Kluyveromyces lactis: one gene and its partners. The protein of the gene in region 1 binds, or shares a complex with, the protein of each later gene. Links are inferred from orthologs where the notes say so. Each region holds a gene or a part of one and is shown in the gene's direction. Other genes may lie near its edges.

Region 1 (2,665 bases):
AGAAAAGCGCGACTTGCACTGAATATTTTTTTTTACTTAACCGATCAACGGTAATAAAATTGCATCTTGATGATAATTTCTATGAAAATTCAAGTAACCCAAAAGACACCGGCACCTATGAACAAATACAAAGAAACGTTACATTTAATAGACCTTCTATAATCTTGATCGTTTGGTTCAATCTTCAAGACAAGCATCCAAATCATTAGCGAATACAAAGATGTTAAGATGTGTTATCCCAAGCGTTCGCGCTACTGCAACGACCAGAACCTTTGTTAGATTTGCCAGTTCTCAAGGCTACATTGATGGGATCGCTGCATTAAAACAAGACTTGAAGAAGGCAATGCTTGCAAAAGACAACCTAAGAAAGACAACCATTAGAGGTGTACTATCTACAATTAAGAACAAGGAAATTGACAGTAAGGATAAGGATCTAGATGAATTTGTATTGTATGATGTGTACGCCAAGTTAATCTCGCAAAGGAAGGACTCCATCGCTGAATTTGTTAAAAATAAGAGAGAAGATTTGGTAGAGAAAGAAGCCAATGAGATAAAGATCCTCGAGAATTATCAGACTGCCTTGCCTGTTGCTTCTAGGGAGGAAGTAGACGCTCGTGTTGTGCAGATTTTAACAGATCTAAAAGAATCAGAGCCATCTATACAATTGAAGCAGGTCTTCGGAAAAATTGACTGGAAAACACTACCAGGCGAATTGAAGGCATCTCCAGCTGCTATCAGGTCCAGTATTAGCTCTCAATTTAAGAAAGTGTTCCAATAAATCACCTAGCTAAAACCAAACTTGTACAGAGTCATTCATTAAAAAAAAAACTCCGATGAATGACGCCCTTGTGATTAAGTAGGCACATCAATCCCGTAAATAAATGTACTTACAATTATGCAATATCAAGCCGCAGCAATGGATTTGACTCACGTGAACAATTCTCTATCTAAAGACTTCTGATAAAGCCATGTTGTTCGCTAGGATGCTTTGCCAGATCACGTGATAAAACATAGTAACCAATACTCTCTGGTAACTACTAAGTGGGGAGAATATGGACATGATAGTCTTTTGCTCTCTCCACAATAGCATAATCGTAACTCTTGCATGCATCTTCAACTGCCTTCCTCCACCTTATTGTAGTACTTCCTCTAAATTTCACCAAACATTGAAAACATGAATTGACTAAATTTCAAATTCAGAGATAAATAATGGCAATTACAAGTACGAAAATATCCAGAAGAGAAACATTAGACGTGCTTATAACCCCCAATCAAATCAACCAACGATGGTGTCGGTATGTAATGATTAAAAAAGACTGAAAAGCTTCTTCAGTTCGTTTTTAGAAGGTTTCTTTTCACAATGAGTTTACTAACAGACCTTTTATTCAATATTTCGGAAACAGACTGTGAAGAGAACGGTCAGAATTAAGACCAAGCAATCTGTCCTACCGGATGTACCACCTCCAGTAGAAAACTTTCCTATGCGTCAATGGACCATTGAATTAGTTCTTTTGGATGAACAAGGAAACGAAATTCCAGCCACGATATTTGATAAGGTAGTGTATCATTTGCATCCAACTTTTGCAAACCCTCATAGAACATTCACGGAACCTCCTTTTAGAATTGAAGAACAAGGCTGGGGTGGCTTTGAATTGTTGATAAGTGCGCATCTTCTTGAGAAAGGGGGCGAGAAGAAGATAACTCACGACCTACATTTCATGAAAGATGCCTATGAAATTGATCATGTAATCCAAGTTCCTACCAATAAGCCTCTTCTAAGAGCAGAACTAGAGAAAAGTGGACCTGTCGATGAAGTAGCATCAACAGCAGCAGCAACTCCAAATGCAACAGCGACAGCTGCCACCACTCCAGGTGACAAGAGAAAAGCATCTACTGTCAATGGTGATGTAAAAACGAAAAAAGCCAAGACCGCCTCCGCTTCAACAGTGAAAGGCTCTGTGAACTTGGAAAAGTTAGCATTTGGCTTAACAAAACTAAACGAGGATACATTGGTTGGAGTAGTACAAATGATAACTGATAACAAAACTCCAGAAATGAATATTACGAACAATATCGAAGAAGGTGAGTTCGTTATTGATTTATATAGCTTGCCTGAAAGTCTATTGAAGAGTTTATGGGAATACGTCAAGAAAAACACCGAGTAACCGGACCTCTCACATGTTTATCTAATTTAACCATTACAATTATGTAGTTGTATTTTATAACTTACATCTCCACTAACAGGCACTGCTTGCAGAAAAAGTACCAAATGAACACTATAATGAATAGACAAATCAAGCCTAGGGAAAATTGCACTGAAATATTTGATTGAATTCGCCCTTGGACTTGACTTTAATTATTGTCGACCTCCTACCGATGAGCTTATCTCTGAAAAAAATAATAGTTTGAATCAAATTCTACATGATAGCATATCACAATACTCCATTATGTTTTACTATTGTTGTAGCACAACGGTCCGCAAGCCGTCGATAGAAAACTGTATTGGCATCAAGTCAACACTTAACATAATGGAAAAAGATTTTGTAATGGTATGTTTTAATCTAATATTGCCATAACGTTTGTCACTAGCAGCATTGTCACTAACAAGTGGTTGTTTACAAACATATCAGCCTTACGTTCCTCGAACAATAAGAGTCAAAACTCA
Region 2 (2,728 bases), on another chromosome or scaffold:
GAACTTAGAAACCCTAAAGTGAGATCATCAAGACCTTCGTTACCATCTGATGACGATGCTTACAACAGCAATGATGATGACGATGACGAATATGACGAACAAAACGAATTTTTCGCTGTAAGAAAATCGCTACGTAAGACCCACACAGCACCATCTCGTCGTGATATCACTCCAGAAGCAGTTAAAGCCAAGTCTAAACTGAACAAACCTCCTTCTTCTATCAGTTCTGTAGAAGAAATACCTGAAGCGATGGCAAAGAGGCAAGCTCTTTTGAGATCCTCAACGGAATCGGAAATTGAAAAGAAATCCTCTTCATCATTAAAGAGCCTACAAAAGCATGGCTCAAAGTTCCAAAAGCAACTGATTAAAACAATCAACAGTAGTCAGGCCTCTCTATCGGCATTGGCGTCGTCAACTGCATCATCTGCAAACTCATCATCTGACGCATTGAATGCGAAGACAAAGAAAATGCTAACAAAGGTACGTTCTAAGGGTCCAAAACGTAAGCTCCCAACAGACGTCACTAAATTGTAAATACCTCCTTATTCATATTAACTCGAACCACAAACTAGTTGCACAATCCGGCAAAAACGCATTCGTCAACTGCTAATGTGCGTTCATTGATCTTGTAAAGTTACCCTTCTAAATACGTATGCCTTTAATTCCTAATTACTTATTCCATTTTCCGACCTTAAAGCTTTTTTTTTATCCAAAACAAAACAATCAATTATTTCAAATTATATTCAATATATGCTTCTTGAGCAGTTGATATGGAATTTTGATTGCCGAAGTTCCCATTCATATTTCGTCCAAACAGTCTTTCACTGGTCAGAACACACGCAGCTATTACTGTGGTGTTGTGTGTGAGAAAAGTGATTACTGGTAGCTTAAGAGTTTTGTTTTCGTTTTCATCTCAGTTCATTTAGGGAAGGAGGTCAAGTTAATTCTGTTATACGGCCTCTTCTTTCCTTTGCTATTTGTGTTGCCAGTGCGAAGTTAGAGCGTAAGATTTTAAAGCTTCTATTCTAGCGTTTAGCATTCTTTCTGTCGAAACCGTTATTTGTGTTTACCTATTGAGTGCTCAAGAAACTGAGAAAGAGAGATATCAGAGTTTACTATTTGATCTTTACGCCCTGACATTTAGGGTTTTAGTTTCCTTTCCATTATACTTACAGATTTTACCAATCCGAATACACAATCTATTTAAGCAAAATATGACAGACGGGCTTTTAGTTACTGGTGACCTGGTTCTTTGCACCGTGGGCAGTTACGAACCATGGCCAGCTGTAGTTGTTCCTCAACGGATATTGAGTAAGAGTGTGCTGAAGGCGAAGGAGAACGTTGGTCAAGTTGCTGTGGCATTTTTTAACGATTCTACCTATTATTGGACTAAACCAAAACAGTTAAAACTTCTTACTGAGGAAAATATAGAAGCGTGGATAAAATCGCCGCCCAAAAGGTCTTCGAAAGAGTTGAAGAAAGCTTACCAGTTTGCATCCGACTATACGAGTTTGCAAGAGTTTGTCGAAGACAGGTTGACAGCGGAGGGAAGAGCGGATGATTTGGAAACTATCGCTGAAGTTAAGATGGGAGAGGACCCATTACTTTCCAATATTGAGTTAAAACTGGAAGACACTAAATCTACGGATAAAAGACGGGGCAGAAGAAGAAATGAAAGCGAATCAGAGGATTCTACCTCCAATAATAACAGTAACGGAAGTACCAAAGCTAAAAAGTCGCCCAGTAGTGGAAACAAAAATAGAGACTCACCGGTATCTACACCTGTCGCAACATCTGTTTCAGATTTCAAGAAGAAGAGGGAAAGCTCATCAGAATCTCTCTCGACATCTCCTTCATTCGTACCAGAAGAACCTCCCAAGAAACGCAGTAAGCTTGACTACTCACGTAGGGTAGAGATTGCTCAAATATTCCGTAACAAATTACAGAAGTGTTTGGTTCAACGAGATACCCCACCAACAGATGCAGATCTTGCCGAGTCTGATAAACTCATGAGGAAAATCCTATCACATACTAAATCAACACCGGAATTCTTTGATTTAGAAGCCCTTAGGGTATCCAAATTGCATAAACTATTAAAAGTCATTTCTAGTATGCCTGAATTATCACAGTTTCACGAATCTTGTAACACTATATTGGAAGTGTGGGCACCTCATGTTCAAAAGATCAAAAAGGAAAAACTGAAACTGAAGGGTTCGCTATCCCCATAGAGTGGATCACAACTGTCACTTTTAATATCTTCGATTCATAATAAGAGCACAAAAGAACCGTTCAAAAGGAAAGCACAAACAATGCATTACTGCTTTATAACAAATTCAATTCAATTCTGACATTATTCTCATGTAAAATCTATCACATTAACCTACATAATCTCATCCCTACCACCTCTCCAGTTACCTCACCGTACCTATTCCTTCTTTTCTTGGACCCTTCAATCATAATGTATCATTATTTACGTTTATCGCTCTGTTCCCCATCAATTGTTATTATTAACAAAATTGCCAAAACCTTTAAAATGACTTTAAGGTAGCAAAATTGTGCACTTCATTACAAACATCAGACATCTTTCCCATAAGCTAGCACATTAGGGAACCGATATTTTAATTATATTTCCTGTAAATTTTTATTGTTTATCAAATACGCCAAGTATTACTTCAATAACTTTCAAGTTGTTATGTCCACTACCGTTGATTTGCCAGAGCATTTAGTA
Region 3 (2,335 bases), on another chromosome or scaffold:
TTCCAAATATTCATCAACTGGCTTTTGACCGTTCAATTTGAATTCAGTAGAGTTAGAGAAGGTTGGTCTGACATAATGGTAGTTGGAGTCAAACCATTTAACCATTTCCAAAGCTGGCACATCAACAGCAGCAGTGGTTTCGGTAGCCTTTCTTTGCAAACCTCTAGCCATAGCAAAGTAAGTGTCCAATGGAGACAATTCATACTTAGAGTAACGTTGTGGGATAACGTTGAACAATAGAGAAAGATCCAAGACTTGATCGTAGAAAGAGAAATCGTTGGAAGCAATGACATTGACACCAGCATCCTTTTGCAACTTCCAGTTAGAGGCCTTGATGTCCTTAGCAACTTGTTGTAATTGTTCAGCAGAGACCTTACCGTTCCAGTACCCTTCGGTAGCCTTCTTCAATTCTCTGTTTGGCCCAATTCTTGGGAACCCTAAGACGTATGATTGAACCATTTTGTTATTGACAAACTAATGTATGATTAGTGATTGGTTTGTTTGGCTTAAGATATTAAACTCAAACTGAATGATAAAGGAAATAAATCTGTATTTAAACAAAGTACACATAATTCCTTTTATTATTGTAATGATGAACAATTGTCACTCCTCAAATTACATCAAGAGTCGACTGCTTATATACATTTTTTTTCAGATCCTCTTTGGACTGAAGTTTCTGATCCAACAAACATCGTTTAAACGATGAGTCTTAATTACCTTCGGCTGCTCTAGTCGTTCCCACGAAAAAATCTGCTCAACTACAAAACTGCCACTATTACTACTGCTGCTACTACTACTTACTTTTGACTTGAGCTCATCGGAACGTAACAGAACAAAACTTTTCACCACAATTCACCAAAGGATTCTTTCTGCAGAGATGGGGCTCTCTCAGATACCATAGAAAAGCACATGTCGTCAAAATAACACTTCCCACGAATCGCACAGCATTTCACATGTGGTTTGCCTAATGGTTTCCACATGGTTTCCTGCACGGTGTTTTGACGTAAATAGTGTGGTATAAGACCGACGTAGGTTGGGCAAATGGTAACTGTCACGTGCTGTGCCGTAGTCATGGCTAACCGGTCACGGGGAATGGTTCGGACTGCAATGTGGCTCAATTTGGTCTGTAAGGGTGTGGTTGGGGCGGTGGTTGTGCTTGTTGTGGCGTTTTTATGCACTTTTCCAAAGCAATTTTGATCCTTTTTTTTCCACACCATCCTCCTCCTTTCTTTCACATGGTGACGATGACTTCGTGATACTTACCCGGATTGATTGAAAGAGCTCCAAACTGAACAGCATTTCCAAGTCACATGTATTTTCACGTGACCTACAGAAGTAGTAGACTGTCTCTCTCGATTGGAACTCTCTTTCAGCAGAAATTTAAGCCAGCAATTATCACTCTTCTTCTTAACTTCGAACAACTATTTACGAGGTGAGACGATTTTCTCCAGTTTCAGTGCTATTACCACCAAACATCCAATATGCCGACTTTGGAAGTAGAGCACAAGAAGCTTCTTAATAGAAGAGAAGAATTGCTGAAACAAGACGTTTCTCTTAGGAAAGATTACAGTATCTTGCTTCGCAAGATTACAAGTGTCTGCCAGGTATTAGAATCATTAGGTGAGCCTATTCACATCAATTTAAATGGATACCCCATCTTCCAACAGCCAGATTATCAGAAGTTTAAAGATTGGGATGCTCTGGTACCACTTTTGAAGAGTTTAGAAGAAGTGAACTCGTTGCCCTTGGATGAAATCGAGATCCCAGAAGCTTTACAAGAATCTTATGAATTATTTAAGATGACTCCATTACTATATAAGGATGGTTCTGAATGAAAGTTTGGCTTGTCCTGAATTATCTTTTTCTTCTCCTCTCGTTCCGTATCATGTTCTCAACGGCTCGTGTGTTGATGAACAGTTCCAACAAAAATTTTCGAACTGAGGGTTTGAATCGGTACTCTCCCAATAATTCATAAACTTGTTCAAACATTTCTGGGCTTTGGAATCTACTAGGCCCATACTTGGACTGGAGAGCAGTTATCTCTTTGATCGCACCATTCAGAAGGATATTGTTGCCCATATCGCTTACTATCCTTAGGATCCTATTGTTGATCTTGTCATCTTCAAACACATCTGGCAGTTTCGACTCATTTGTTTGGGATATCTCTCGGATCGCTCGTTCCAATTCTTGTTTGTCCTCTTCCTGCTGGTCGGGATTCACAGACGTCTCGGATCTTTCCCATTCCAATAAGTTGTCTAAAGGGATCTCATGGTCCCCAACTATAATGTTCGAATTCAGTTCATTGTTACATATAGACGCCGCGTTCTGATTGTGT

What was found. The genes of interacting proteins can lie anywhere in the genome.
Region 2: KLLA0_D06831g (region 1) and PDP3 share a complex: the UniProt entries of both Saccharomyces cerevisiae proteins name them as parts of the nuA3 histone acetyltransferase (HAT) complex. The link is inferred for Kluyveromyces lactis from reciprocal best matches to the Saccharomyces cerevisiae genes TAF14 and PDP3.
Region 3: KLLA0_D06831g (region 1) and IES5 share a complex: the UniProt entries of both Saccharomyces cerevisiae proteins name them as parts of the chromatin-remodeling INO80 complex. The link is inferred for Kluyveromyces lactis from reciprocal best matches to the Saccharomyces cerevisiae genes TAF14 and IES5.

Annotation. Positions count from the first base shown.
Region 1 is NC_006040.1:588,334-590,998, reverse strand, and holds KLLA0_D06831g (uncharacterized protein), read left to right. Parts: upstream 1-1,286; coding exon 1,287-1,295; intron 1,296-1,403; coding exon 1,404-2,165; downstream 2,166-2,665. Other genes in the region: AIM41 (Aim41p), read left to right, coding at 221-778. UniProt on the Saccharomyces cerevisiae protein: Functions as a component of the DNA-binding general transcription factor complex TFIID, the RNA polymerase II associated general transcription factor complex TFIIF, and the chromatin-remodeling complex SWI/SNF.
Region 2 is NC_006038.1:945,901-948,628, forward strand, and holds PDP3 (Pdp3p), read left to right. Parts: upstream 1-1,214; coding exon 1,215-2,228; downstream 2,229-2,728. Other genes in the region: BSP1 (Bsp1p), read left to right, coding at 1-534; KLLA0_B10824g (pyridoxal 5'-phosphate synthase), read left to right, coding at 2,693-2,728. UniProt on the Saccharomyces cerevisiae protein: Histone-binding component of the NuA3b histone acetyltransferase complex. Targets the NuA3b HAT complex via histone H3K36me3 to the coding regions of actively transcribed genes to coordinate transcription elongation.
Region 3 is NC_006041.1:1,787,854-1,790,188, forward strand, and holds IES5 (Ies5p), read left to right. Parts: upstream 1-1,481; coding exon 1,482-1,835; downstream 1,836-2,335. Other genes in the region: MET6 (5-methyltetrahydropteroyltriglutamate-homocysteine S-methyltransferase), read right to left, coding at 1-459; KLLA0_E20087g (uncharacterized protein), read right to left, coding at 843-1,217; TORC2 complex subunit TSC11, read right to left, coding at 1,855-2,335.